4 linked regions of the Rhinolophus ferrumequinum genome follow. The protein of the gene in region 4 purifies or fractionates together with the protein of the main gene of each other region. This does not show direct contact. Links are inferred from orthologs where the notes say so. Each region holds a gene or a part of one and is shown on either strand. Other genes may lie near its edges.

Region 1 (7,625 bases), on a different chromosome or scaffold from region 4:
TGTTGAGTGCCGGCTGCCCTGTGCCTGACCAGAAGGGATGAAGCCAACATACAAATAATAGAACCCTGTCTGTCATGAGCACAGAAAGGTCTGCTGGGTTTCTATTGGTTGTGGCAAACCGGCCTGTATCCAGTTCTATGAAACAGTTGCTTACTTAGTGAAGACTCATATCATGTTATAATACTCAGCTCTAGTATTCCCTCTTCGATGAAGAATTTTTTTCCAGATAAAATCGATCAATGTGTCCTGTGTTAGATTGATTCTCTTAATCCCTATTCATGGTCTCCCATTTCCATCCCTTTTGCCCTATAACGTTTAGTTCCATTCACTCTGATGCTGGGCTCGGCCATGTGACTTGCTTTGGCTAATGGGATGTTGGTAAACATGAAGCAAATCGAAGCTTAAAAGAGGGCTTGCACTCTTGCACTTTGCCAGTGCCAAGAGAACATGGCTAGCCTGCTGGAGGGATATGAGGAACACGTGCAGGTGAGAGATAAGTGAAAGAGAGCCAGTGATCCCAGCTGAGACCACCCAGACTAGCCTAATAGCCAACCTACCCCAAGTCAAGGTCAGGAGAGTCACCCGGCCCACAGGTGGCTGCAGACACGAGAGGGCCCAGCCAAGGCCAGAAGAAACTGAGGCAGAGACTTGAAAGCAATAATGCTTATTGCTTTAAGCCACTATACTTTTGTATGTTTTTTTATACAGCAGTAACTAAACAGACAGATGCCCCCACTGTACTTTAAACAAAATTTTATCACAGCCTGTTTCTTCATCTGTAAAATGAGAAAAACCCCATCTTGAGAGCTGTTGTATATCCTGCAGCAGGTGCTCAATAAATTGAAGCAACTGTACACTCAACTCATTTCTTTGTAACCTACTTCCCATTCCCTTCCTGTAGGCTTAAAGACAGGGATAGAAGTCAGACTTCTTTCTCACTTCCCACCATTACCCTGTAGTGAGCCTGGCAAAGAGTGGGTATTCACTAACGGCTTGATGGATAAATGGAAAAATGAAAGAAGAAAAGGAATAAATGAATGACGTCTTCAAGGTGTCAGACAGTGAGCCTGACTGCTGGGGAGAACTGCCAAAGCCCTAGTCTGCCTTGCTTATTCCGGTGCCTGTGTTTTTGGATTCAGTCTTTCCCAGCTGCTGTTCTGCCTCATGACCAGGAGCAAGTCAGATCCTGGGCCGCCTTCCTCATCTGTTCAGACTGATGGACTTGAATGACAGGGTTAGGGGCATACCTGCCTTGTTATGGAATTTTTCTTTTCCAAATTAGAAATATCTTTTACTTTTTTTCTTTTTTAATTTTAAAGTTAACATGATAGCTGAATAAAGTCAACAACATACAGAAGTACATCAAATGGAAACTAAAAGCCTGACTCTCTAAAAATGATTAAGTTTGGGAATATACTCTCCTAGAAGACATATGTAACAAAATTATATATATTTTAAAATAAACACATACTGTCTATTCCTTTGTAAACTTATTTTTTCCTTTTCAAATTGTACACTCTTACCCTTTTTAACAGCTGTATTCCATAGAATTTGTGTGTACCATACTTTATTTAACCAATCCCAAGTTGATGGAAATTTGTTTTCAGCTTTTGGAAATTACTAACAACTGGAATTTCATTTGTTAGTAGCCTATTCCTTTCCTCTTCCAGGTAAGTAGCAACATGAAGCTTTTAGGAAACAATCAGATGAGATCAGATAGGAGGTTTAACAGCCTGGCTTAGAGAGGGTTTCTGTTTATGAGTTACAGGTGGAAGTAAAAATCAATGTCATGAAAAGTCTGCCAAATTACCGAATGTGTTCTGAAAGGTTATGTTTCCAGGTGCCAAAGGGAGGCCCAGATTCAACCTGGCTCCTGCCCACCTCTCTGCTCCCGTCTCCTATCCTCTGCTCCAATTCGGCAGCCCAGCCAAATGCAGGTACAGGAAGTTCCCTCCGCTGCCTCTGGGTCTCTGCACATCCAGCTTTCTCTGCTCCGAATAGTTTCTTCCTCCTTTCACCTTGCTAATTCTTCATGACTCAGCTCAGGTTTCACCTTTTCTGAGGCGTTTACCCTTATGCCCAAATCTTAGATGTGGAACTTCTCTTTTGGGCTCCCCAAATACCCTATATGTACTGCTACGGTAGCACCCATGACACTAGGGTGCTCTGCTTACTATCTGTATGTCCATAAACTGCACCAGGGCAGGAACCATGTTTTTTTTTTTCATAGTTCTATCCCTACCACGGTGGCAAGTAGTAACTGCTTAACAAATACATAAAAAATTGCGAGTGAATAATACTACAAAGGAGAGGAACATGAGGTTACCATAACTGAGGGATCTGACCTGGTCTGAGCAGTCAGAGAAGACATTTTTAAAGAAGTGATTGAGAGAAGAGATTGAGGAGAAATACAAATCAACTATAGAAGGGGGGAAAGATGAACACTCCAGACAGAAATAACAGCATGTACAAAGGCTCTATGGGTGAGAAGTTACTTTAAAGAAGGTCATATAACTGGAGGGAAGAAAGGGAGGGATATGTATGGTTAGACTGGAGGCTGTAGAGGTGGATGGGAGCCAGGCTGCGATGTTGATTGATGCTAAGAGCAATAAGAAGGTCAATTCTGAAATGGGGGTGGGCGGGGGGAAGTGAACAGTATCAAATTTACATTTGATATGGATTACTCTGGTTGCAATATGCAAAATGGCGGGGGGGGTCGGCTGGTTAGCTCAGTTGGTTAAAGCGCAGTGCTCTTAACAAGGTTGCTGGTTCGATTCCCACAGGGGCCACTGTGAGCTGCGCCCTCCACAACTAGATTGAGACAGCTACTTGACTTGGAGCTGATGGGTCCTGGAAAAACACACTTAAATAAAAGTTTTTAAAAAAATGGCTGGGAGGGAAGGCAGGAAAGATGTGATGATAGGACTATAGAAGTAAAGCTGATAGGACTTTATAATGGATGGGAAATATAAGAGGAATTAAGGATAACACTTGGGTTTTTTACTTCTTTAATGGTGGATACAGGTGAGAACACTGGAAGAGACTCAGGTTTGGAGTACATGGATTATGAGTTCAGTTGCAGATATGTAGAGTTCGAGTTGTCTTTGAAATATCCTGAAGGAGCCTAAGGGGACTTTAACAGCTCAGGAACCAATCAGTAAGTGGACCAATCAGGGCTAACTAGAAGCCAGCCAGAAACCAGCGAATCATGGCAGTATCAGATGTAGGTGCTGTGTAGCCAGACTTTCCTATTTAGTTAAATGTTTTCCATTGTCTTCAGTCTCTAGTTTTCTTTCCCATTTAAACTTTTAAGGAAGGATGTGAAACTCATTCAGGTTGATGTGTACATAATCCAATGTGGGCCACACAGGTTTCTTTTCTCTGGGCAATTCTGACTCGTTGGAACAAGTCTTAGGCTAGAGAGGCTGTAGACTCAAGTTACAGACTTGGCTGGAAGTTAGCACACTAGGGTCTAGTCCCGGCTGTCACTGATTTGGTGTGTGGCCTTGGGCAAGTCACTGCACCACTCTGGGTTTCAGTTTTACAATCTGTGAAATGGGGATAAATATCCTTGACTCGTGAAGCTCAAAAGAGACACTGGATGTAAAAGCGCTACATTGCTAAATGTAACAGATCTGTCATGAAGACTAAAAGGAATGAAGCTCTAACCATGGAGGTTAGAGAATCCCATCATGGAGGGTGTAGGGAAAAGCGGTAATTTGGGGACAGGATCCCTAGTAAGTGTGGAAAGATCCCTTTGAGACTGAGAAGCAGGCTCTACCCTGGAGTCTTCTTGCTTGAAAGGAAAGGGGCAGTGCAAGCCCCATAAATTTTCATACGTCTCCAGTATTAGGGCCTGTGTCTTTTTCTGATATTACTCCCATGTCTTGAAGAGCGTCTCAGTTCATCAGGAAAACTAACCCTATATCAGGGCGTTTCAAATATCCCACGCTGTGTCAGAGATTTGAGGCATTCGTATTAGGGGGCCCCATGTTTGTGATGGGGCAGGTTCTTAAGCACTCCCGAATCTGTACGGGTATGTCAGCGCCCTTCTCTCTCCTCCGCGCCCTTCTATTCCGTATGGGTGTAGAGTCTTGTCCACTGTGAAAGGAGGTAAGGGTTTTGGGGGGGAAGGGGTCTCTGGTCCCCGAGAAAAGAAATGACCCTCCCCTCTCCATAGAGCTTCTGTTCCCTGGAACGGGTTCCCTATTTTCCCGCTGGACTCACCCGCAGTTGCTGCCCTTCCAGCCTTGGCGTCCCACTCACTACCTCAGGGTTACCCAGCGCAACTCCATGGTAACTACCTTCGCTAGTACATCTCGGCCAGGCGCCGTAGGCGCTGCCGCGATGCCTACCGGGAGCTGTAGTTCGTCAGGGGCGGGGTTCTAAGGCCGCGGATGTGCTGAGATTTGTAGTCTTTGCTCTCAAGTCGAGGCGGGGGTCCGGAAGTAGTGACACCCCTTCTCCTTTCCCAGTGGCCCTCACACTTCCTTTTCCCGGGTCCTTAAGCGTGCCCTTGCGTGCATACCAGCCGACAGGAGCCTATCAGAGGGCGGTGCGAGGGGGCGGGGCCATAGTTTAAACTAATTGTGCGCTCCGCGCTGGCGCGAGCCCGCGTCAAACGCGATCGGAGGAAACGGGAGGCGGAGCGGGAGCGCGCGGCCAGGTAACCGGCGCGGGCCCGCGGTTGGCGTTCGGCCTGGGCGCCCACAGGAATGCACAGGCCTAGAGGGGGTGCTGGAGAGGCAGGTGCCAGCGATAGGCCTCCTGCGTAACGGAGTCTGACTGGGGAGACTCTATTGGGAGTAAGGTTTGTGAGGGGAGGGGTCTGTCGGAAGGGGAGGGGCTGGGCGTGCTTGGGGGGAGGGGAAGAGTGCTTGGGGGCGTGTCTGTGGAATTATGTCTGAGAGTGACGGTGGGGGGTGGGCGTGGGTAGGGCAGATTCCTGAAAGACTCGTCACGAGGGGTCCTTTAATGGGAAGTCTTCGCCTATTACTAACAATAGTAGTGGTAATAGTAGTGGTAAACATTTTCTGAGCACCAGCTACGTGCCAGACACTGTGCCACATGCTTTGTATGGATCGTCTTGTTAATATTGCTAACAACCTTATTATACTTTACTGCAGATGGGTCATCTGAGGTTTAACTTGGCCAGGATTACATAGCTAGTGCATGGTCGACTACTGGGGATTTTGAGGGTTGGGCCTAAATGAGGACCGGAGGGAGGAAGGGCTTTGTCTGTGGGTGCAGATTGTCTTGGAGGAATCAATTTATTTTGTCTCACTTTTCATATATGTAAACAACGAACCTACCTGCCTTACCTACTTCTTGGGGTTGTTTTGAGGGTCAAATCACGTAAGGTGTTCTGTGGAAGCATCTTGGGGAGTATAAATTTATGACTATAAAGTTACTGTGAAGGTTGTTGGTGGGAAAGAGCCCTCTCGGTGCCCTCTTTTGCTTCCTGATGTAGCGCTTTTCATCTAGTAACCTAAGAGTGTCTGTCTGCATGTTTGCCCTTCTAGAAACAGTGCCCTTTGTCCCTGTATTGTGATGCCTATGGCATGGCCATTAATGCATGCTTTGAAATGAATGAGCTTTCTTGGGCTGAAAGGGGATAGGAGCCTGGCTTTCCCATTTTCATTTAGTGGCCTTTGAACCTTTATTAATACAGTCCTCTTGCCTGGAATGGCACTGCCTCTTGAAAATGTGATATATACTTGCTTTAATCCATGCTTCGCTCTCTGAGGTCTGTTGCCTGATCTTGTATTTCCAAAGTTCTAGATTGTCAAGTGTGTTACTCTGTGGTAGGCAGAAACTTTTGATAGTAAGGGAATTGGGGCCCTCTACCTTGGGGAGATCTGTATGGGAACTTGGAGGGAATGTTCAGATCATTTAAGGTAGCTTTCAGTCAGCAGGGATGAGTGGATGTGTTCCCTCCGTCTGTTCCTGTGTGGTATTTTCTCCTGTAGAGGAAGAGGCACATACAAGTACTTCTCTGTAAAAGGACTCTTGACTCAAATTCAAGCAAATGATGACTAATTGTAATGCCAGAATTTTTATCTAAAGCCAAAAACTCTACCCCACCCCCAAACTAGAAGATCTTACCCAAAAGTTCACATAATAAACATTTCTATTTAGAATATTCTTTTTTAGGGGATCAAATATATGGTGATGGAAGGAGAACTGACTCTGGGTGGTGAACACAAAATGTGATCTATAGACGATGTAATACAGAACTGTACACCTGAAATCTATGTAACTTTACTAACAATTGTCACCCCAATAAACTTTCATTAAAAAAAAAGAATATTCTTTTTTGTTTATGGAATATGGGAGTGGGAAGAATGCCTAGAAGACTCAGCTTCTAGAACTCTTAAGATGGGGGCAATGCCCTGCTTCAGATGGCTAAACAGAGCTGATCAAGGAATGTTTGACAGCTGTGTCTAATTGATAACACCTTACGGTCAATAGATATGTTTGGAATCATTTATTTCAGCCTCTTACCCAGTGTACACTAATATATGAAAAGATGTTGTCCAGGGGTGGCCGGTTAGCTCAGTTGGTTAGAACCCAGTGCTCTTAACGGCCGGGATTGAACGGCCCAGTTCAATCCCCATATGGGCCACTGTGAGCTGCGCCCTCCATAACTAGATGAAACAACTACTTGACTTGGAGCTGATAGATCGTGGAAAAACACACTTAAAATAAATAAAAGCTTTTTTTTTTTTTTTTTAAAGATTTTATTGGGGAAGAGGGACAGGACTTTATTGGGGAACAGGGTGTACTTCCAGGACTTTTTTTCCAAGTCAAGTTGTTGTCCTTTCAGTCTTAGTTGTGGAGGGCGCAGCTCAGCTCCAGGTCCAGTTGCCGTTGCTAGTTGCAGGAGGCGCAGCCCACCATCCCTTGTGGGAGTCGAACCGGCAACCTTGTAGTTGAAAGGACGCGCTTCCACCAACTGAGCCATCCGGGAGCTCACCGGCAGCTCAGCTCAAGGTGCTGTGTGCAATCTTAGTTGCAGGGGGCGCTGCCCACCATCCCTTGGGACTCAAGGAATTGAGCTGGCAACCTTGTGGTTGAGAGCCTACTGGCCCATGTGGGAATCGAACCGGCAGCCTTCAGAGTTTAGGAGCATGGAGCTCTAACCGCCTGAGCCACCGGGCGGCCCCAAATAAAAGTTTTAAAAAAAGGTGTTGTCCATATTCGAAATGAACACTTACAAGAATGAGACCACTCAGGCAGTCCATATCAACGTTGAGCAATACTAATTAATAATTATTGTTATGTGCTGTTGGTGACAATTTTATTTTACCCATGTATATTTTCTTTTAAATTTTTATTGGGGAATATTGGGGAACAGTGTGTTTTTCCAGGACCCATCAGCTCCAAGTCAAGTCGTCGTTTACAATGTAGTTGTGGAGAGCACAGCCCACTGGCCCATGTGGGGATCCAACCGGTGACCCTGGTGCTGTGAGCACTGCGCTCTAACCAACTGAGCCAACCGGCTGCCCCAACCCATGTATGTTTATTCTTTGTTTTTTCACCATTCTTTCTTGCATGTCATTCCATCCTTTTGTGTCAAGCAGACAAATGTATCCTTCAAGTGTTTTTGTTTTTTAGTGACGATC
Region 2 (7,855 bases), on a different chromosome or scaffold from region 4:
CGCATAATACCCTCTAGTTCATCCATGTTGTTGCAGAAGGGAGAGCAAGGAATTGAAAACCTGTTTGAAAAAATGATGGAAAACTTCCCTAACCTGGTGAAGGAAAGACTTACGAGCCTAGAAAGCACAGCGTCCCAAACAAGATGAACCCAGAGGCCAACACTAAGACACATCATATTAAGATGCCAAAGGTTAAAGACAAAGAGAATTTTCAAACCAGCAAGGGAAAAGCAGTTAGTTACCTACAAGGGGGCTCCCATAGACGAAGTTGATTTCTCAACAGAAACTTTGCAGGCCAGTAGGGATTGGCATGAAATATTCAAAGTGATGAAAAGCAAGGGCCTACAACCAAGATTTCTCTACCCAGCAAAGTCTCAATTTCTTTATGATTCTTTTTCATATATACCCTCTGAAATTCAGCATGAACTACCTTTCCCACCATGCTTAGTTCCTGACACTCCTAAAATAGGAGCCAAGAGGAAAAAAAAAAATGAAACCTTTTCCAACACCTGGGCAGACACTGATAATGTTGAAAAAAACATGAAATTTTAAAATGTTAAAATAAACAAAGGGAAATGATTTATGCTCAATGGAAAGAAAAGAACATAATTTGGAAACAGTATTACACTGCTTTTGAGAGGATCTTCTGTACTGTCCTAGCTCTCTTAGCCTTTTCCACCCAACAAAGCTCATTGCAAAACAAATGTGAAAGGGAAAAACATCATTTGTAAACTTCTTTGCTTGCCAATAAAATACTAAAAATTTATTTGGACTTTGATTAGGCTAATAAAAAGGTGAAACAAGCATCCTGACCACCCACAAAGGGATCATTTATAACCAGAAATGTTAGATCTCTATCACCACCTTCTGGTTTACTATTTGAATAGCATCATATGAAAAAAAGCTCTAGATTGCAGAATACTTTGAGCAATTGTTGGAGATGCTTACTGAACTATTTAGGGATGAAGTGCCATAATGTCTGTAATTTATTTTCAAATGCTTCAGAAAAAATATAGCTGAAGCAAATATGGCAAAGTGTTGATAACTGCTGGATCTAGGTGGTAGGTATCATAGATTGTTCATTTTAGCATTCTGCCTTTCTGTGTTTTTGCAAACTTTCATTTTAAGAAAGCCAACTTCACTATAAATCTAAGTAAATGCAACTAACAGAACAATGAACTATAACAAACAAAAGACTAAGCAAGAGACTTACGGGTCAATTGTGACTCTAATACAAGACATTTTTGGATCCCTTTGTTTATTGTCTGCAGCATTGACTGAAAGAAAATACACATTTGTAAGAAATTGAAGTATTTATAAAAAAAATCTTTAACTCTTAGAAAGCAAAAATCTCAAACGCAGTAGCATTAATGAGGTGTTAATTCAGCAATTTTTATTCACAGTACTGTTTCTAGTTAAGAATTCAACTTCACTGTCTCACCTTTGCCAACTATTGTTTGAAATGACAGCTCTGGCTACATAGGGTTTGCTAGGAATTATATACTTCTTATGAAGGATTTGACCAGAAGATCTTTATGTGAAAGAATTTACTTACCTAGAATTTCATCAAAGATTTTGTACAAACCAGGAACAAAAGTGACTTCCCTGAAATTCATGCCAATATCTTCATCATAAACCCACATTTGCTAGAAATAAGGCAAAGAGATGCAGTTATTTTTACCCTATATTTATTCTGTTTTATCATCATGATTACTGGAATAAGTTTTCTGGAATATATATATTCATATAAAATAGACTAGGCCAGTGCCAGTGACACTCAAAGTACATGAAGTATAGAAAATTAACCTGGAAAAACACACATTTTAACTACTTAGTAACTGCATTTAATTAGCTTGTTTTACCTGGGTCACTAATTCCACAGAGCCAATATAGGTGTCCGGACGGAGCAGAATATGTTCCAATTGCGTTTTCTTTTGATAGATTCTTTCAATAGATAGTCTTTTCTTAGCATCTTCATTTTTCTTTGTTTTGTTCATTTGCATATTTTCGTTTACAGGCTAGCAATTTAAAAACATTTGAAGCAAAGGGAACTTTAATCATAGGTTTATCAGAAACTATAAACAAAACGTCTACCTTTATGATATGCTTAAACACTATAACAAATCGCCATCTTTAATGAGTATTGGTGGAGTTTACATCGTTTTGTACAAACGTGGCAATTTAAGTTAACTGCAGCCAGGTACCCAGGTTACATTTTAAATGGACATACATCTCATCTCACTAAATGTATCTGGTATGGAAATATTTTCCTTAAGGGCTTTAGATGTCATCAATAAAATACACCCACTTATTCATCTACTCCATCTACTATGTGCCTACTGTGTCCCAGGCACATAGTAGATTCTAGTTCAGCAGCAGCAGTTTGGGAGGCTATCGATTCAATCCCTTGGCCACGTTAACGTTGTGAACACAGAAGGACGTATTTTGAGCAACTAGGGCCTGCCGGCTCATTGGGAACACTGTGCCTTGCTCTGCACCTTCCAAGGTCAAGGACATTCAATTCCATATTCAGCAGGAGGATAGCAGAGGAAAGCATCAGGAGGCGTTGTTTAGTCACAAGTGGACCATTATAGTACAGATCTACGATAGGACCAGTTGCTTCCTGTCCCTAGAAACAGTAAAACAAAACACAACACCCTAGAAGCCAATTTAGTCCATAACACTTCAATATTACCACCATAAAGAGTTTCACCCTCGTCACGATCACGCCGAACCCAGGAGACCCGGGTCCACACGGAATACAGGCTCCCAGGCCGCCGCGGCCGGACGACCGCGAAGCCCAGGAGCTTCACTCCCTCACTAGCAACCAGAGATATCGGGCCGCGCTAAGGCTCCACGACTCGCCCATTTCGCGAGTTGTACCTGCAGTGGTGACACCTCCATGGTGACGGTCGTGAAAAGGCTCGAGAACCCTGCAAGAGACTAAACCGGCGGGACCCACGAGATTATCACAGGACAAGCCGCTTCTCCACAGACGCTGGTCGGTTGGGAGAGCAACTCCAGTCCAATTTGAACTTCCCTCTAGCCCGCCGAAACGAGGTAAACCAATCCCTGATTCGCTCTCACCGGTTCCGTCCTGAAGAACCAATCGTAGCTGGTCTTTTATGTTCTCCAAGGAACGCCTGTTCGAATGAACCAATTAGGCAAGGGAGACGGGACTAGAGGGTTTTCAAACGACACCACTTTGGGTCGTAGCGGAGGGATCGACAGGGAATCTGGCCAATGAGGAGGGCTCGTTTGTCTTCGCAGTGCAGAAAACTCGGTGGACCGCGCGGTGGAGGTAGGAGGGGGATTTCTGAGGTGCAGACTGGCATAAAAAGAGGAAAGAAAAGGTTTCATTCCCCAGGAACTGCTAATTTATTTCAGATCCCTGAAAGCTAAAAACGATCCTGTGTCCCAAGGTTTTTTAGCGAGAAGAACGAGAGTCCTAGCTCCATTTTCCTGAAGAAACAGTGCTGGCTGGCTTTGTGTACAGGAAGCCTGGCGGCGATTTGATTAAGCGAACACAGGTTCTGACGTCTGCCTCAATCTCCTCTCCCCTCCCCTCCAAGAATTTATTTTCAAAGAAACGAAAGTGCTACAGTTGTGGGTTTTCGTTTTCATATAATAGAAAAATGTAGAGAGGCCGCGCGAAATAGCCTTCGAGTCCCCCAGGAGAGGGGCTTTAGGCTGCCACTGGGGTAATTTATAGTTACCGCCTCAGGAGCTGAGGATGGCTTAGGGGCCCATTCTAGTACTGAGTTTTTTTGGGGTTCAGACTGCCAGTAGGATACCCTCGTGACTTTTGCTCCCTGTTAAGTTCCCTGAATTCTGCAGTCCAAAACAGCTGTTCAGGTTTGATGAGGAAATGCCAGATTGAAGTTTTTCTTGAGTGGCTTTCTTTTTTCCTCATCAATTCACAATGTTAAAATGACCAAAACAATGTTGTTGCCCTTACAAGATGCTAGAAAAATTAAGGAGTGCACAATTTGCATGGCTACTGATTCCATCTGACCCAGCTCCTTCCCTGAGTTTCAGTCCTGGCTGGACAATTTGACAGTTGTGTCATCTTGAGGGAGGCAGCTTCTCAGTCGCTTTCATTTCTTCTGCTGAAAAAGGGAAATAAAAATAATAGTATTACCTCAGCGTTGTGTGAAGATTACGCGAGATACATGTTTAGGATAGTAGGCTAACAGTATCTGAATCAGGAAGCAGGAATTTTCCTTAGGCTGGCATGACAATTTGTGGATTTAATTTTTTTTCTTCTAAAAGAACCAGAGGGCCAACCAATTGTTAAATCACCCAGGCATATTTGATGCCCAGCCTGTTGGCAGAGCTCTCCAGGGAGGGCCAATGCGGAGGGGGTGTGGTAGGACGTGAAGTCCGGGATGGAAGTAGCCCACTGGGCTAGAGTGATTGGGAAAGCCGAAGGAAGGCTGCTTCGGCATGGCGCTGGTCCCTTCCTCTGGTCTCCTGGCCTCCCGTAGTTCCCAAGTGTTCTCAGCTTCACTCTGCTCACTATATGTGTTGATCAGAAAGGCAACGTCCATGCACAGGACCACCAGGGTCTCAGAGCAGTTGTGGGGAAGCCCATCCTGTAGCTTCTGCCCACCCAGAGGTTGAACAGGTCTTCTCATGTCACTGCCTACAGCTTCCCCAGGACAGAGGAGGACCCTGACAGAGACCAGCCATGCTGCCTTCTACCTCCTGGAACACAGAGCTCCAAAGTGGTAGGGGTGGGTGGCCATGCTTCCCCTAGGATAGCAGTCCAGCCTCTGTCCCTCTTGCCTCCACCCTGTTGCTCATCCTAGCCTGCAGTACCCAGGAATTTAATAAGCAGCTCTAGCCCTATTTTCTGGGACCCACCTTTAAATCTGCCCTGCAGTTTAGCCTGATCCTGTTCCAAAAACCTGGAAGCAGAACTGTGGAGTCTAAAGGACTTTGGAGTCACACATGCATGAGTCAGAAATCGCTCTGAGCCTCAGTTTCCCCATATCATTATCCTTTATCAAAAGTACAAAGGGCTAAATGACATATGGAAGCACCTCGGACAATCCTTCTCCAGCCCTCTAGCACAGAAATTTCTTCTCTTGATCATGAAAGAACCCCCACTTCTCTTCTGGACATAAGCTATTTCTGTCAGCCTGCCTCCTTCCTAGAGCCTCTCACAGGGGCCCTGCAAGACTTGTGGGGGTCCACTGAAAAGTCCAGGACAGGTGGGCCTGGGATGTATTGTCCATAAAGAGGGAATTCCAGGTGTCTGCAATTGTGCAAAGATACATGTACAAGATTATTTATTGCAATATTGTTTTTATTAGAAAAGAACTGGCAGCTATCTAATGGAAGTTGATCTAGGTGTACTGATATGGAAATATCACTAAGACATATTAAGTTTTTAAAAAGTGAAGGAAAGAATTAGAACATAATCCCATTTAGGTAAATGTTTATGTGTGCGTTGAAAACATCTGGAAGGAATCGTAAATAACTGGAGGGGGAGGAACACTTTTCATATTTTCCTTTCTATCCTATTTGATCATTTAAAAATTGTAGACATGTCTTATTTTTATAATGTAAAAAGTTAGCTTAAACAAAATTTAAAAGATTTTCTTCTGTAATTGTGGGCCCTGATAATTCTCGGTGTTCATGACCCTTTGCCAACATGTGACTTTCTAAGTGTTTGTTTTCATATACTCCCTATACCCTTTTCACCCCCGACCCTTTTCCTCACCTCACTGAAGGCCTATCTGTCTATACAAGTTTGTGTGAGAATGTGAATTTTGTAGATAGAGATAGAGTCTCAACATACTGGGGGAACTCGCAGTTTAAGTAAACCCAGTGGTGAGGACTCAGTAGGAAATCTCAACCTTTGCGCCAAATTGAGGGACAGAGTATTGTGGTGGGAAGTCCTCGCCCAGTTCTGCTGTCACTAGTCTCATGACCTTGGGTAAATCTCCTCCTGTCTCTAGGTCTCAGTTTCCCCACCTGTACACTGAAGTCTAGGTAGCCCAGCTAGAGGAGTGGGTTGCAAAACGCCTTCCACAGAGTCTAGAGAGGGGGTGGGATGGGCCCAGATTCTCCAACCCAGAGCAGCTCCACTTTCATCTTTTTACGTGTAAGAATTCTGTTCTGTGTAAAAATGGCAATCCATTACTTATATTTAGAAAAACCCCTGTGAATTGAGTTGGTTGAAATCAGGGTATGCCGTTATCTTGGCTTCCCCTTCCCTGCCAGTGCCCAGCCCAGAGCTGCATAGGAACGAGCTCAAGCCCACTGGGGCTGGGGCATGGTGTCAGGGAGGTGAAGCATGGTCTCTGATTCTTTCCACTCCCTATGTGACACCCCTACCCCTTGCCTCCTGGCCTAGTAGCATGGCTGATGTAACCTTAAATCTCTGCCAGGGTCCCAAGACCTCCTGGTTACCTATCTCTAGCACCTGTGGCTACTAATGGCAGCAGGTGGAACTGGCATTTGGACTTGGCATCTTTGCCTCCTGGAGGCTTGGTCAGCAAAACCTGGACAAACACAGCCATGAACCCCTCCCTTCTCCCTCACCCCCAGATTCTCCAGCTCCTCACATCCTTCCTCTATAACCCACAGAGTGGAAGTGGTCAAGGGAGTGGGATAGGGAGGACTTCCTCTCTGACAACAGAGGCCAGGGCTGGGCCTCTGCTCTCTTGGCTTCTCACACGAGAAGGGGAGGCAGAGCTGGACTGGATTGTGTGTCTTGATGGGCAGGCTACCTGAATACTCATTCCTGGTACGTTTTACGGCACTCTGGAACAGAGAAGGTCATCACTGAAGAACTCTGGGTTAGAATTCTCCACGTAGGAAGAGGAATAAAAAAGGACATCTCGGGGGTGTCTTCTGTCTGATACTAATCTGATAGTTGTCCCCCCTGCTGGTACTTCCAGGGCCCCCTCACAGTTGATGTCAGAGACCAGGAAGATTGGTAAGTGGTGGAGTGGAGTTAGGAGCAAGTTATTCACCAAAAGGAAATAAAAAGCTATGCCCTTCTGTTTGTAATTAAAGACAAAGATGGTATTCCTGAAAGGCCTGCAGCTAAGTGCTGCCTACATGTTTCTCTTTCCTCCCTGTTGATCATGAAAGAAAAGAAGCTACATGAGCAGAAAAGTGGGAATTTACAGAGAACAGAGAAGACTGTCATTTGGAGCAGGTAGTTCGTCCTGTTCTCACGAGATGAGCTAGAACCTGCTAGAGGAGAAAGCCTGCCTGGGCTTTTGAAATCAAGTTGTCTTGAAGCACTCTGAATGTCTAAGAAAGAAGTTTTGACCTGGCAAATAAACATTTAGGGCAAGTGTAAGGAAGTATTCTATCTGAGGTTGGGAAAAAAAACCAGGATAAGATTGGTCTTTGATAGGTAAGAAAGACTGATTTTTTTCTTCTTTTTTTATTAGTTTCAGGTATACAAAACAACATAGTGATTATATTTTTATATACTTCACAGAGTGATAACCCCAATAAGTCTATTACCCATCTGACAGGAGTGATTTTTCAAAAAGCACAATCAGGCGAGAAAATGTAATGTCGTCCCTGTCTGGAATAGCCTTTGCTTGGAAATGACCTTTGCAGTGGGTAATGTTCTGGCTCAACTTGCTATGCTATGGTGTGCAGTTGTTTGGTCAAACACTAGTCTACGTGTTGCTGTGAAGGTATTTTGTAGATGTAATTAGCATCTACTCTCAGTTGACTGTAAGTAAAAGGATTACCCTCTATGAGGCTGGTGGGCCTCGTCCAATCAGTTGAAGGACTTAAGAGCAAATAACCTGAGGTTTCCCAGAAAAGAAAGAATTCTGCCGCAGGACAGTAATACAGAAATCCTGTAAGAGTCTCCAGC
Region 3 (7,410 bases), on a different chromosome or scaffold from region 4:
TGGGCCCTAGTGGACCCAGGCCCTCCCTCCAGGAGTGCTTCTCTTGCCAGGGGAGACAGGGGGACACAGACCCTTCCGCCCTGTGGGCTGGGATGGCCCAGTGGAGGCAGTGAGGGCTCCGTGTAGGGTCTGTGGGAAAGCTTCCTGGGAGGCTGAGCTGTCTCTTGAACTGTGAGAGGGAAGGGCACAGAAGTTCAGGCACGAGCGGTAAGCAAAAGTCTGGGAGGCTAGCAATAGCCTGTCAGTTGGGGAAATGCAAGTGGTACGGGGGCTGCAGCAGGGGCAAGAGGGGCTGAGGTTGGAGAGATGACCCAGGGCTGGGTCAGGTAAGGCTTGGAACTCTCCTGTGTGGCAATGGGGAGCCCTGGCAGGTTATGGAGGAGGGGTGGGAGAATCAAGCCTTAGAATTCTAACATTCCTCTAAAGAATCTGCTCTCTTTCTGTGGGAGCCTGGGCTGGGGGCCCAAGAGGCCTTGGAAAGAGAGTATAAATGCAACAGGTCTGTCCTTTGCGGCAGGGTTGCAAACTCAGCACCTGCAGGGGCCACCCAGGGGCCAACTGTTTGAAACCCCTGCTTTTCAGCTGTAAGACTCTTGTTACACAGGTTGCCTGAAGCAGAGAGGGGTTTAGACATTAACTGGTTTCATACCCTCATTTATGGGCGAGGAAACACGTTCAGAGGATTAAGCCACCAGGTCTGATAGAAAAATATTTTCAAGTGAGTATGGGGCTAATTGCCCCTGATATTGATTCTCCCCATCTTCTAGAGTAATAGTACCCCAATATTTAGACATTCACAGTGTGCCTAGATGAAAACTACATTTGCCAGCATCCCTTGTAGCTAGGTATGATCAGGTGACCAAGTTTTGGCCAATGGAGTGAGTGGGATGTTGGCTGAGACTTAAAGGAACAAGTCTAAAAGGGAGGGGTCTTTCCTATCCCCAACACCCAGGGGAGGAAAGACTATTCAAGATTCACTGAGGGGAAGGCAGCAGGATGTGTTCTGAGGCCCGGGCAACTGTGGCTCACAGGGAAGCCCTTGGAAGTTAACAGGTCCTGCTTCAACTTTCCCTCCACACCCACAGACCTGAAGTCGGGGATGCCCGCGGCAGTGCTGATGCCGGCACCCGTGTGGACCACCACGTTGGAGGACTGCCACACCAGCTTTGCCAGCTCCCACACCTTCCGCTCCAGCTCCTCGGGGGGGTCAAAGATCTGTGGTGTGAGAGAGCAGAGGGGAGCGGTCAAAACGTGTCCCTTAGTGGCAAGGCCACTGGCCACAGAAGAGCTGCCCCCACCTTGCCCACGGGAGGAGAGTGGATCTGAAAAGGAGGCTTATTGTCATGTCCCTCCTCTGCCCACAGCCCTCCAGGGCTCCTACCTTTCTCCGGGTAAAAGCCCAAATCCTCCCTGCAGCCTGCTGCCTAAAACACTCTTTCCTCAGACTCCCTCCGCTCACCTCCTTTAGGTCGTGGCTCAAAAGTCACCTCATTTGTACACCCAGGTTCAGAGCAGCACTATTTACAATGGCTAAAACATGGAAGCAACCCAAATCAATCAATGGATGGATAAACACAACGTGGTCCATCCATACGTTGGGAAATTATTCACTTTAGAAGGAAGGAAATTCTGACACCTGCTACAATGTGGATGAACCTTAGAACATTGTGCTGAGTGAAATAAGCCAGACACAAAAGGACAAATATTGTGTGATTCCACTTATATGAGGTCCCTAGAGTAGTCAGATCCATAAAGGCGGAAAGTAGAATGGTGGGTGCCAGGGGCTGGCGAAGAGAGAATTAAAGTTTAAATGGGACAGAGTTTCAGTTTGGGAAGATGAGAAAGTTCTGGATGGTGGGGATGGTTGCACACCCTTATTAATATACTTGATACCACTGAATGTACACTTAAAAATGGTTACGAAGTTAAATTTTATGAAAGATGTATTTTACCACAATAGAAAACATTGAAAAATGCCATCTCAGTGATGTGTCCCTGGCCACCTGGTTTCAATGCAGCCCCCAATTCTCCTCACCACTGCCAGCTTTACTTTTCTCCGTAGCTCCCATCTCACTTATATTTATTTGCTGCTGTCTGTCTCCCCACTGGAATGAGGGGTTTTTGCCTATTTTGTTTCCTGCTGTGGTCCCAGGATCTAGAAAGTGCCTGGTGGTACAGCAGGTGCTCAGTAAATGTTTGTGGAATAATGTGAATACAGGCAAGAGAGGAGTGCCTTTTCAGGAGGTTTCACACCATCTGAGAACTCCTCAACTTCCCGACTCAGGACGAACGGACTAGCTTTCAAGGGATGGGGGCAACCTTCCCCCAGCTTACAGAAGGGGAGAGGAGGCGCAGAAGGGAAGTGACAAGCCCCAAGTCTCAGTGTATGGAGGGGACTTCCTCTCGGAGTAGCTGGAGGGGTCTTTCTGACACATATTTACATCCATCCAGGTTCCTTCCCAGCTCAAAACCTGTTTCCATCACCCTCAGGATAAAGTGTCAATCTCCCAGGCTGGCATTTGGGGCCGGTCCTGACCGGGACTCTGGAAACCTCTCTGGCCTAATCTGTTCCCCCAAGTGTGTTTATTCCCACCTATCTCCCTGCCTTTGCCCCTGCAGGGCCCCCTCCGCCTAGAACTACATCCCCTCCTCCCCTATCGGAACTTCAGGACTTCCTCACGACGGTCCTTCCCTCTGTGCAAGCCTCGTGGACCCGGAGCTGGGCGTCTTCGCGTCCCCGAGTATGCTGGGGGCGTCACTTCCCGCCCCCTCCTCACTGGGAAGTCCCTCCCATTGTCTAGCCTCAGTGCCTCCTGATATTCCCACAATGCCCCGCTGCCGCCCGGCCCCGCCCGGTCCACCACCCTAGAGGGGGAGGCTTTCCGGTCCTCCCGCCGCGCTCACCTCGGGGAGGCCGCACTTGCCCTTGTCCGCGTACGGCGACAACCCCGCTGCGTAATTCACCGACATTCTCACCGCTCCAACGGGAACAATAAAGTTTCCCTTGTTGAGGCCACTTCCGCCGGAAATAGGGCTGCACGGGGAGGAACTAGGAGTCGCCGGCTCGCTCCCACCAAGGCGCATGCGCCTCACGTTGACGCCGCAGGCGCCATCTTAATTGCTGGTTAAAGAAGCCGCCTTACTTCTGCGAGTTCGCGTGAGACGGAGGGGGCTGTGACCCGGCCGAGAAGCTGGGGCAGCTGTGCGCGTGAGAGTTCTGCAGTCGCCTCTAAAAGGAGGAACACAATCCATTTTCCCTTTTTACAAATTAGTAAAGTGATGCTCCACTTCCACTCCTGCATGAGGGTAGAATCAGAGAGAAGGGACCCAGTCCTAGGTTCTTTCCGTTGCACCTTTCAGACATTTGTAAAGTTACAAGATAAGTTATAAAGTTCAGGATACCTGTGGCACGGAGCAACGTGGGGCCTCATTAGGGGAGGTCTTGGCCAACACTCTAAGTTATTTGAATATTTTTCAGGTGGATGGTAATCTCCACTCAGTAGGACAGGTCCAGACCACCAAGAGACTAGAGAAACTGCGCAAGGTCATTGGGGCTGGTGGCCTTCAGGACTCATTTAGGAAACACGTGTTGAATACCTACTGTGTGCTGAGGAGGCACTGGAAAACAAAGGTGGCACCTTGTGGCTAATTAGGGACACAACCCAGTGACTGGGCTGTCGTGACTTAGTGTGATTGGGGAGCAGTGAGGGCGCCGGGGAAATGCGGGAGCTCAAAGGAGGCACCTGACCCAGCCGGGGGCAATTCGGAAAGGATTTCTGGAGGAGAGGGTGTAGCAAAGATCTGAAGAGTGAGTAGCAGTGAGATGGGGAGAATGAGCAAGTTGGGGGTGACATGGGGTACAGAAAAAGTGTTCCTGGCAGAGGGAACAGCAAGTGTAAAGGCTGAGAGGAGAGAAAGACGGTGGCTCATTCCAGAAACTGAAATCAGTCCGGTGACGATAGGGAAGAACATCGGTGTCTTCCCGCCAGAGCCGGTTGGCCAACAGGCAGCCCCGCTGCCAACCTGTCTCCTCCCTCGGCTCATCCCCGGCCCCCTGGGGCAGCTGCCCGCTCAGAGGTGATCGGGTGTCGGAGCTGAGCGCACAGAGCTGCTGGTACGAGCTGGTGGCCCAGCTGGGAGCAGGTAACCGGAGCCAGCAGTGAACACGGTGGCCTGGTGCTGGAGTCACTGGAGCTGCAGGAGGTAGGAGAGGAAGGAAGGGAGGGAAGCCTGGGCCGGGGGCTCCCCTTAGGGTCTGAGGCTCCTTGTCCCTGAGCCCTGATATGTGGGAGCAAGGAGAAGCCCGTGTGTGTCCCAGCCACGCTGAGGAGCCTCTTAGGCGCCCTGACACACACACACAGTGGTTCGTGCACGCACCTCCCGCTTCCCAGCCTTGGCCTTGTCTAGGGTATGGACCCTGTTTTCCTGCTGCTGCTCAGTATCCTGCCGGCCTTCAGGCCCTGCTTCTATAGCATCACCTCTTCCAGGAAGCAGCTCCCTAGCTGAGGGCACTTCCCCCTCCCCCAAGCTCACAGATTCCCTCCTGCCCAGGCAACCTGTGGACTCCTCTCTTGGGTGTCTTATTACACTCTGCTCTGGGTGTGATTGAGTCCTTTAGACAGGGGCAAAGACAGGTGGGAAAGGTGGTGAGCAAAGCAGTACATTGAGTGAATGGAGTGAATTAAAGGGTGAATGAATGGATGGGCAGTAGATGGATGACTGGGTGATAGAGTGGATGGATGGATGGATAGGTGGACGGACGGGAAGGTGGATGGATGGTAAGTCGATAAGTCAGTGGAGGGTGGATGAGGATGGATGAGGGAATAGATGAGTGGGTGGGTGTTAGATATGTGGGTGAGCACATAGGTGGATGTGTAGGTGGATGGATTGATGGGCAGGTAGATAGGTGGGTGGTTAGGGGGGTGGATGGATGGATGGATAGGTGGATGGTGGGTGGTTAGGGGGCGGATGGATGGATGGATAGGTGGATGGTGGGTGGATGGTGGGTGGTGACTGAAGCATAGTTGAAGGGTGCATGAAGGACCATGAGAAAAATGAGTTGGGCAGGTGAGTTGGTGGGTGGGTATACAAGTGCTTGGATAGGGAGGTGGATGTACAAATGAGTAGATCGGTAGGTAGAAAGAAGGAAGGATGGCTTGGAGAAGTCACGGGCAGGTGGACAGGTGAAATCCTGTTCAGACACAGGAAAGAATCCCTACCCACACACCTAGCAACACATCCCTTCAAGACATCCCTGCCTGATCTCCATACCCACATGTGCATGGAACACAGAACAGGCCAAGGTGCATAGATGTGCATGCACACACACACCTCATGCTTGTGTGTGTGCACGTGCATGCACACATTTATCACCCCAGACCTCCGCCTGCCTTGGGTGACTTGTGTCTAGTCTCTCACTCACACAGAAGTCAGGCTGGTGTAAGGGATGTAGCTGCAAGGACGTTCTCTCTGACGATCCAAGAAACATACCTCTGTGCTAAGAGCCTCCGCTCTGGGCTTGGCCCCAAGGAGCCCCTAAGTATTCAGAAAGATTGAACCAGCTCAGACACCTTGAGCTTGTGGAGCCATGGCTGGGGCAGGAAAAGGGACCCAGCCAGGGCTGGGGGAACCCAATTTGGGGGGTTAGAGCTCTGCCTGCTGGTGAGAGGCAAAGTTGATCAGAGCACGGGGTTTTGGAACTAGGCTGTGTAGGATGAATAGGAGTTCACCAGAGAAGGAAAAAAGAAAGGCAGGTAGAAATTTCTAGGTAGAAATAACTGCACAGATGAAAGCTTGGAGACGAGAAAATGCTTGATCTGCTTGGGCCACAGGGAATACTAGTGAAGTGAATTATTGAGGACCTGTTAGCTGGGCCTGTGGTAGGGACCTCATGGAAAACTGACCACGAGATGGTCAAGAGGGGATTACCTTCCTCATTTTAAGGATGAGGGATGTGAAACTTAGAGAGGGCAAGTGACCTGCTGAAGGGCACACAGCAATTAGGAGATGCAGCAGGTAGGTCTCTGTCCTGCTGTAGGTGCTGGGATGGCCCAGTGAGGGGGAAGTGGTTCTTTTGAGGAGGGGGAGGTAGCCGACCCTCTGGCTCACCAGCACTGATGTCCCTCACCCCCTGCCCTTTCCCAGGTGGCCTGGGTTGCAGAGAAACACCAGACACTGGCCATGAAGACTCTCCGGGCACGATTTAAGAAGACAGAGGTGAGTGTGAGGCCACTGAGATGCCTGATGTCCCGCAACCTCAGGTTCCTGTCCTCCAGGGCCTGAATGAAGATCCACAGGCCTTGTGGGCTGTTTTCCCCCACCCATCAGATTCTTTTAGCAGCTTCCACATGACCCTCTCTGCTCAACACTCTTCCATGGTTCCTCACCACTCAAAGGTTCAAGTTTACCCCTTTAGCCTCTGGCCACCTCTCCTTCCCTTTCTCTCTACTGCCCCCTGCTGCCCCGATGTCCCCACTGCTTCCTGTTCAAGCTTTCTGGCCACCATACCTTTTCCCAGGCTGCTCCCTCTACCTGGAATGCCCTCTCCCCATATTGCTGCCTGTCATACCCTCCCCGTCCCTACCAAGTTGGCTCCAATAACGCTTCTTCCAGAAGATCTCTGCTCTCCCCAACTACAGTGACCACTTGCATTTCTGAGGACTCACTTTTTGGGGGACTCTGATCTCTTGCTTTTGTCTATTTATTCAGCACACATTTGTATCAGGCACTGTTCTAGGCACAGAACAGACATCAATGAATAGGGCAGACAGAAATCTTTGCCCTCTAGAGCTGAAAGCCTGGTGGGGGAGGTGGACGCTAAACAAGATCGATGAGAGAAAGGCATATTTTGTGTCATGGAGCAAAGAAAGCAAAGAAAGGAAATTGGAGTGTCCAGGGCAGGGGAGAGCATTGCGATTTCAAAGCGGCTTGTCAGCAAAGTCCTCGCCAGGAAGCTGATCTTAGAGCAAAGATCGTAAGGGAAAGAGAGAGGGCTTCGTGTGCTTATTTGAAGGAGTTGAATTCCAGGGGTAGGGAACAGCCAGTGCGAAGGCCCTGAGGTGGGATCGAGCTGGCTTCCCTTGCAGCTATATCTTGGAGTGTGAACCTCTGGAGGGAAATGCTTCTTCCTCAGGCACCCCTACTCCTTCCTGCCCACCCCCAGTCCCTGCCTGTGTGGGGGCTGGTTCAGGGCACAGATTAAGAGACCTAAGTGAGGATTTGCATCTAGAGTCAGGGTGGCCCTCTGTACTGGGCGTGGTCAGGCTTAATTTCACACTCACGGCACAAAGAAACCGAGGTCCAGAGAGGTTCACACACCATTCCCGGTCACAAAGCAAAGTGGCAACAGTGAGATGCAAACCTACACGTGCCTGACTTCAGAGCTCTTAGTCTCTCCACCGCGTGATAGGG
Region 4 (7,619 bases):
CTCTTTTTTGGGGGGGGTAGGGGATAGCAAGGAGGATTATTATGGGATGTGCCCTGAACAGCTGGGTGGGGCTGTCCTGGGTAGGTGAAGCTCTGGGGAAGGAGTGGGGGAGAAGGACAGGAAGGAAGAAGGAGGGAAGGAGCTGGAGAGGGTGGGTGAGCCCTGGAGCCAGACCTGAGGCCTGGCAAGAGTAACTGGCTGGAGAGGTTCTTCGGAGATAGCTGTTTGAAGCGGCCCCTAGGGCTGACTAGAGCTAGCCATCTCTGAACCCTGGACACCTGGGTCCTTGTAGCTCATACCTTAGCTTGGAGCTGCAGACTTGCTGAGTCCAGGACTTGCAGTGCTGGGCTGGCAGTGAAAACGCCTGTGTGGCACACCAAAGGGAGCAGTGCCCCTGGGTGAGCACAGTACCCAAATACCTCCCTCCCTCTTTACCTTCCTGGATTTGACCCTTGGGACCATATCAGGTATGGGGGTTGGGCCAGGGGAGCTTTGCCGCCTTGCATTCACAATCACGGAATAGAGACTAAGTTGGCTCCTGAAGGACAAACGCCTGGCCCATCACCCCCCAAACCCTGCACTACCTGCATCCTGTCTAGCCATCAGAGTGCACTGTCACTGTGGCTTTTCTTTTTTATGTTGTCTTCCCCAAACCCCTTATTCTAACAGATCAGGATAACACTGGTCATTTAGACCTCTTACAGAGTTTCTAGGGCTCACACAGAACAGAGATGTAGAGAGAGGAATTACAGAACATGTGCTGAAAACTCCAAGGACAACCACTCTGAGTGTTATTCTAGGTTCTTATGTACCATGGGCTAGAAACAAAATTCTAAGGTAACCGGCTAGAGAGGCTGTCCCCCCTGGGTGCATTAATCAGGAGATTATCCCACCCTTAGTCTCTGTGGACCAATCATGCTAGTGGTTTATTTATAATTTATCTGGGAGGATAGCATGGGGCCAGGGTAGGGAGGGGGAGCATGGATACATAAAGACCACAAAAGCAACACACAAACACACACATCCTAGCCCTCTCTGGAACTCAAGAAGAGAGGAAGGGACTTTAGCCTTCTCCTTGTGGTGTTAGGGAGAGGTGGAGAGTAAGAGAGGCAAGGGGGTAAGTGGGTAGAACCTGCAGGGATGAGGCAGAGGGCTGTGGTGCACAACAGGTATCAGTGTTTGCCATTATAGGCAAGAGGCTGTGACTACCCAGTTGTAAAACTCTTCCTGGTTTGTATTACGAATCACTGTAGTAATGTGGTAATATATATGAGAAGAAAAGGAGCCGATAGAGATATTACAGAAGGGAATATGAGGCCCAGAGGCAGGCTGCATCCCCTAGAGAAATGGGGAGGGAGGAGGACAGAATTGGTGTCTGATGGCTCTATATAGGGGAATCTTCTTGAAAGGAGGTATGCCCACATTATGGTATCTTAAAAGAGCTGCCTCCTCTCCTCCAGGTGAAGAACACAAGGCTCATTGTTGGTATGCAGAATAATCATGGAGGAGGGTTTGCATAAATAAATGGGGCCCAATCTTGAAGTCAAGAGAAGTTAATGAGGAAGACCGCAGCTTTGCAAAGTAGGAGCTACAGCCTGCACACCACAATGGATGTGGCAAAAGCGTGGACCAGGGAGTTAAGCTGGGCAGGAGCTGGTGGGAAGACTCATCAGCATCACTGGTGGTCTGCTTGGAAGCAAAGGGATACTGATTTCCTGAAGCAAGCTTTGCCTCTCCTGAACTCATTCTTCCTTGCCAGTTCTCCAGTTCTGTGGCTCCTAGAGGAGGGGAGAATCATCTGGTCAGGCTCTTTCTCTAGAGAAGTGAGATCAGAAGGGCAATGCAGAGATGGTATGAGGTTCGTCCCACTCACTTCTGGTCAGGAAGGGCCCCTCCTAGGAGGAAGTTCCGGTTTCTCTTCAACCTGTCCCACTGCCATAGGTCTTGGACTTGTGTGAAAAAGGCACATGAGAGCGGAGGAAGACATTACCTCTGGCTTGGGGGCCAAGGGGCAGCAAGGCAGTGGTGCTGGGACATTAGTTTTCACTCATGGAAAGGGAAAAGTGACAGACCTGTGGGCTCAGGTTCTCTGAGGGCCAAAGAGTTTTAAGACGGCACTCTCCAGCTTTCTCAGGCTCAGTCCCCGTGTGCCTGCAGGGTAGGCACAGTTAGGGAAGGGAATGGATATGTTGGGACGCTACCTTGTGGCATAATTGAATGACGAAGGCATCCTAGAATGTTGACTTGTACACGGGGAGGGGAAGATGGTAAATATTATACAACAAAGGTTTTTTTGGAGGGGAGTGGGGAATAGGGCCTCCATGCGATGAGGATGGGAGCAGTTGAAAGTATTATGAGACTTCAGGACACAAAATGAGAAACTGGCTGAAACATATGGGACATTGAGGGTAAGCAGAATTTGGTGTTCAAGAATGAGGATAATAATTCTGGCATGCTGATAAATCTCTCAAGAAGGAAGCACATGATGATACAGAATTTCAGTATTAGAAATGCTGGATGCATGAACATTGCTTTCCAATCAAAATCCTTTAGTATGTAGGGAACAGATAGATTATCTTGACTATCCATCTGTTTTGGAATACCTTCTAGCCTCTGGAAAGACCACCAAGAACGTCTACTGGAGTGCGATCTCTCCTGGGATTTGTTTCATTCTCTGTAACAGGAAATTGGGAACTAACACTTAGTTCTTCTCACTTGACACCAGACATTCTATCTGGCCTCATAGTTTGATTTATACTTCTTGGAAGGAGGAACTTATGGCCCTTGCATTCCCCATGGTGCCCAGCTCTGTGCCTTGCTAGGTATTCTGTCAACATCTATTGAATGAATGTGAGTAGCAGTGAGTAGAGGGAGAGCAGGTATTGTCTGTTTGTATGTATATAGCAGGATCCTCATCCCATCATGATGGGATGGATGTTCATCCATCAGAGTGCAATAGGGGTGTTGATGAATGGAGCACCTAACTCAGGAGATGGGGTGGGTGGGGAGAGGGCTGCTGGAATTTTGAGAAATAGTCTTTAGATGGGAGTTTGTAATTATTATGGGATGCTTGGGGTGAATTAAACTTTCACTTGGGGTGAATTAAATTCGCTTGGGGTGAATGTAAACATGTAAATGGCTCATCCGGCCAGCATGGTATTTGGTTGGTCTTACTCAAAACTTAAGAGCTGGAGGTAAGTGTCCGGAGAAACCTGAAGTTTGGTGGACTTTAGTAGGGACCTAGGTTGACTGGCAGTTCCTGAGTATCTGGAAAGGTAGGGTCTCTCATAGACATCAAGAGGCTTTATGCTAGGATACTGCTTTGGTCCAGAAAGGGATAAAGGTGTGTACAAGTTGAGGCAGGGACAGGGCAGTGTACGTAGCTTGTTTTCACCCTGGCTGCTCTAAGTGTTAGAATACATTGACAGCATCTGGAGATGGGGGAGGTATGAATAGTATGGGATGCCTGGCTGGAAAGGTATAGAGGTGGTGGAGTGGAGATGAAGCATTATGGGATGTGGTAGTGGGTTGTGCTGGGAATATTATGGTATGTTTGGTTGACTATGGACTCCTTGAAGTTATTATGGGATGTCAGGTTATGGGTGGGGAGTAAAAATTATGGAATACCTTTCCAGTATTAGAGAAAAGGAGATTAGATGTCTGTAGGGTGACAAAACTGCAGATCATTATGGGATATCTCTTTGATGGGGAAGAGTGCTTACCGTGTTTTCCTGAAAATAAGACTGGGTCTTATATTAATTTTTGCTCCAAAAGACGTATCAGGGCTTATGTTCAGGGGATGTCATCCTGAAAAATCATGGTAGGGCTTATCTTCTGGTTAGGTCTTATTTTTGGGGAAACACGGTATTATGGGCTGTGGAAATATATTGAGTGTGTGAAGGCTGAGGGTGGTGGTGAGAGGATCTAGACCCTAGCCTGCAGGGGTTGAGGGCAGCTCCAGGGGGTTGATTATTATGGGATGTCAGTATAGAAAGTGGGAGACTGATTATTACGGGATGTGTGTGGGAGGAGGCCCAAGTGTCCGTTGTTGCAGTGTGTGTGTGGTGGTGGGGGGGGTGAGTTTCTGACTATTATGGGATATCAAACTGGGGGTGGATGCAGAGTGGTTATTATGGGATGTCTGTGGGGGATGGGGATGAGTATTATGGGATGTGAGGCTGAAGTGCTGGGTGGGGTGCTTATTATGGGATGGCCACGGGGAGGGAGAGGTGACGAATTATTATGGGATGTTAGCATTAGGGCCAAGAGTGAAGAAGTTGGCAAAGGATGGCTATTATGGGATGTGGGGGGGGAAGGGTTAGTTGCAGAAGGTCTGCAATATTATAAGATGTCAACAGCTCTGGCATATATGTGTGTATGAGTGTGTGTGTTGGGGGGGGTGTCCATGTGTATTATGGGATGGCCAGGAGGTGGGTGGTTGCCCGGGTGACGCGCGCGCGCGCTCGAAGGGGGCGTGGCCAATGGTTGCCAGAGCGACGAGGGGGCGGGGGTTGCCCGGGAGACCTAGGGAGGAGGGTGGCGGTAGTGGAGGGGGGTTGGAGTTGGTTGAGGTTATTATGGGCTGTCCGTGGGGGGCGGGGCCTGTGCGGTGGGATTTCCCGGCCGGTGTTTCGGGCCCTTTAAGAGGCGACGCCGGAGCCGGAGCCATTTTCCCCCCTTCGGCCGCGGCGAGGAGGAGCCGAAGCGGGAGTGACACCGGGCCGGACCCTGCGCGACCTGCGGCAGCTCCGGGGTGAGGAGAGCGCGGGGTTCCCAAAGAGACGCCCCTCTCAGCCCGGCCAGCCCCGAGGGTCATCCTTCCACCCGCCCCTTTCTCAGGCGTCCTCCGACCCGCGGACGGCCCCCTGCCCGGAGGAGCCGACCCTTCCTCTCTCTTCCCTGCTGGGTGTCTAGCCCCCTTCCTCCCACCCCAACCCAGTCAGTCTGGCTCCCCGCGACTCCCACCTCGGGCTTGGTCTCCCACAATGCCCGGCGCCCGCCCCCACACCCTCTGCTCACTTGCCCCCCGGGACACGTGGCCCGACCCCCTACCGGGTGGGAGCCCTGTGACCCGTAAGTTCCTGCCTGCAGCCCCCCGGAGCGCCCGAACCTCCACGCCCCCTCGTCCCTGCGGCTCCTTGGGAGAACCTGAGTTGTCCCAGAGGACAGCCTTTGGAGAGCTGCCCTGTCTGGGCACTGGCCCCTCCCCAGGCGCAGGGAGGTGCCCCCCCACCCCCAAGTGACCTTGTGTCCCCGAGCGCCTCGCCGCCGGCCGCCTCCCGTGGCCCCCCCCCGCGCTGCGGCCACTCGGACCCTCCTCCCCCCAGTCACACCCCGTTCGGTCCAGCTGGGCTTCCCCCCCTCGCTCCCCACGGCTGCACCAGCCTGCCCTCGGGGGCGTCGCTGCCTCTCATCTGGGGGGCTCCAGTGGGGTAACCAGCTTCCGGGCTGTCCCCGAGGAGTGTGGAACTAAGTTCAGCCTGAGTGGTTCGGGTGCCCCACTAGGGTGGCTGTGGTGGGGGGGGCCGGTGGTGGTGGTGGTGGTGGTGGTGGTGGGCGGAAAGAGCGGGTGGGGGTGGGGGAGGGGGACTGCGCGTCACTGACTGTTCTCTCTTTCCCCCCCCTCCCCCGCACAGTGACTCGGGCCAGTGTAGAGGGCCCCAGGCCGCAGGCAGGAGCAGCTGGGCCAATTCCCTGGCCGTGAGCGGAGCGGAAGGGGATGGCGTCGGGCCTGGGCTCCCCGTCCCCCTGCTCTGCTGGCAGCGAGGAGGAGGATATGGATGCACTTTTGAACAACAGCCTGCCCCCACCCCACCCAGGTAACATCTTCCCCTAAGGCTCAGTGCAGGAAGGAGGCTTTTGGGCCCTCACGAGTGACTCTAGTGAGGCAGGGCTGAGTTTCTGTCTCTCTCTGCAGAGTCTGAAGTGGAGGGCATCCGAAGGGAGTGGTTCCCCTCTGCAGAGCTCTTGTGGGAGGGGGTGGAAGCCATGTGCCTTCTGGGCTCCGAGGACCCAAATGCAAGCTTTCTGCACTGTCTTAAGGAATGCTATGCAGTTCCCAGTTGAGGGAGCTCTTTGGGCTGGCAGGCCTTACCTCGTGTGGGTCCTTGGAGGAATGCAGGTAGCTGGGACCCCTGGAGGCTGTGGTGGTGGAAGGTAGGGGCTTGAAGATTGCTGTTTTAAACAGACCAGCTCCACATCTGTGCTGGTTAGGATTCTGGGGTTGCTGCTGTGGAAAGGAAAGAGGGAGTGGTGGTTACTCTCTATCTGATTATTTTTAGCTTCTGATCCGTTACCGGTTTTCTGCGCTGTTTCAACTGTGTGAAGTTTGAATTGCGCTCCTTAGCTGGGATCTGGAGAGCTTTTAGCCAGGCAGGTGGCTGGAATGTTTTGAGCGGCGAAATGATGGGGCTTAGGGGTAGGATGTAATAACCTGGACGAAATGCTAGGAGGGGTAAAAGAAGGGAGGTGACACCCTGGGCACCCTCCTCCCTTGGCAAGTGGACATAATCCCCGCTTTTTTTTCCTAGAGGCTTCTCTTCTGCTGTGCAGGTAGCCTGGGGTTTGGGCTGGTGGTGTAAAGTGTTTGTGTAGGTGGTGTTGGGGGTTGTGCTGTCTGTTTTGGGGTGGCTCCTTGAACTGGCCAAACCCGTATGGTTATAACCACTCCGTCTGATTGGAGTAGCCCTTGTTTACCCCCAAATGATAATTGAGGTCATGCTTCTAAGTAGATGTCTCTTTCATCTATCTGTCCTTCAGAGACCCCGGCTAAGTCACCTACTTGTTTCCTTGACCTTTTTTTCCTAGCTTCATTTTGTCTACGGGCCATCTCTTTATCCCCTCTATATTTTTCTTTTCATTCTGGAGACTGCTGGTCCTGTTTTTGTTTCCCATGGAACATCTTTTACTTTTGCCTTTTCTCTCAGCTCTAGTGGCAAGTTGAGGTGGTCTGGGAGAGAAATGTTTCCCCATTTGGCATTTTCTAAGTTGGAAGTCTTTATGTCAACCTTGAGGCCACTTAGGAGAGGGTTCAGTCTTTTTACTGAGTCTTCAGCTGTTGGGATAAGAAACTTAGGTTTGAGTTTCCTCAGTGTACAGGGCAGGGTAGCCGGTTTGTGTAATGTTGCCCAGGGTGGTTGTGGGGTGGTGGTGAGCCTGTCCTTGCTGAGGGGCATGCGAAGTAGTAGTGCCACCGAGCCAATGCTGGTTGCCCGTCTTCGCTTCCCACTGGCCCCTTGGTCTGGGGCTGCCCCTGTGTGGATTAGGAGCTGTATGGGCTCCACAGGTGAACTCTGTCCCAAGCTGTAGTATGACCCAGTTTTTCCACTTGCCACACCCCATTCTTACCCCTTTCCCAAATCCTCTATCGTATTTTAGCCAGTTTGCCGCTTACCTGAGAAGTTTGGGGGGTCTTCAGTGGATGGGAGGGTGTCTCCTCTGCCTCCCTGGGTTTGTCCTTGTGTCCACGTCCAGCGTTTGTGGAGGTGGTGAAGAGGAAGAACCCAGAGTTGTAGCTGACTGGGGCGGGGGGGGGAGGGCAACATGGGATTGTTGGGGCAAAGCCCTTAAAGAAAATGATTCTTTCTGGTGAGATCCAGGCTGGTGTTCCATTCCCAAGG

The links.
Region 1: the proteins of CHD4 (region 4) and NUMA1 purify together in Homo sapiens (affinity purification with mass spectrometry; 3 studies listed by BioGRID and IntAct, with this or other methods). This does not show direct contact. The link is inferred for Rhinolophus ferrumequinum from reciprocal best matches to the Homo sapiens genes CHD4 and NUMA1.
Region 2: the proteins of CHD4 (region 4) and TOP2A purify together in Homo sapiens (affinity purification with mass spectrometry; 3 studies listed by BioGRID and IntAct, with this or other methods). This does not show direct contact. The link is inferred for Rhinolophus ferrumequinum from reciprocal best matches to the Homo sapiens genes CHD4 and TOP2A.
Region 3: the proteins of CHD4 (region 4) and SIRT6 purify together in Homo sapiens (affinity purification with mass spectrometry; 3 studies listed by BioGRID, with this or other methods). This does not show direct contact. The link is inferred for Rhinolophus ferrumequinum from reciprocal best matches to the Homo sapiens genes CHD4 and SIRT6.

Annotation. Positions count from the first base shown.
Region 1 is NC_046294.1:47,675,444-47,683,068, reverse strand, and holds the start of NUMA1 (nuclear mitotic apparatus protein 1), read left to right. Parts: upstream 1-4,579; 5' UTR 4,580-4,666; intron 4,667-4,693; exon of another isoform or gene 4,694-4,810; intron 4,811-7,625. UniProt on the Homo sapiens protein: Microtubule (MT)-binding protein that plays a role in the formation and maintenance of the spindle poles and the alignement and the segregation of chromosomes during mitotic cell division.
Region 2 is NC_046304.1:36,816,662-36,824,516, forward strand, and holds the start of TOP2A (DNA topoisomerase 2-alpha), read right to left. Parts: upstream 3,025-7,855; 5' UTR 2,905-3,024; coding exon 2,884-2,904; intron 2,019-2,883; coding exon 1,863-2,018; intron 1,647-1,862; coding exon 1,556-1,646; intron 1,278-1,555; coding exon 1,214-1,277; intron 1-1,213. UniProt on the Homo sapiens protein: Key decatenating enzyme that alters DNA topology by binding to two double-stranded DNA molecules, generating a double-stranded break in one of the strands, passing the intact strand through the broken strand, and religating the broken strand.
Region 3 is NC_046301.1:59,431,067-59,438,476, reverse strand, and holds the start of SIRT6 (NAD-dependent protein deacylase sirtuin-6), read right to left. Parts: upstream 3,023-7,410; 5' UTR 2,971-3,022; coding exon 2,905-2,970; intron 1,974-2,904; exon of another isoform or gene 1,968-1,973; coding exon of another isoform or gene 1,953-1,967; intron 1,216-1,952; coding exon 1,088-1,215; intron 1-1,087. Other genes in the region: ANKRD24 (ankyrin repeat domain-containing protein 24), read left to right, coding at 6,181-6,216. UniProt on the Homo sapiens protein: NAD-dependent protein deacetylase, deacylase and mono-ADP-ribosyltransferase that plays an essential role in DNA damage repair, telomere maintenance, metabolic homeostasis, inflammation, tumorigenesis and aging.
Region 4 is NC_046293.1:23,841,647-23,849,265, reverse strand, and holds the start of CHD4 (chromodomain-helicase-DNA-binding protein 4), read left to right. Parts: upstream 1-4,599; 5' UTR 4,600-4,753; intron 4,754-5,636; 5' UTR 5,637-5,719; coding exon 5,720-5,819; intron 5,820-6,094; exon of another isoform or gene 6,095-6,226; intron 6,227-7,393; exon of another isoform or gene 7,394-7,523; intron 7,524-7,619. UniProt on the Homo sapiens protein: ATP-dependent chromatin-remodeling factor that binds and distorts nucleosomal DNA. Acts as a component of the histone deacetylase NuRD complex which participates in the remodeling of chromatin.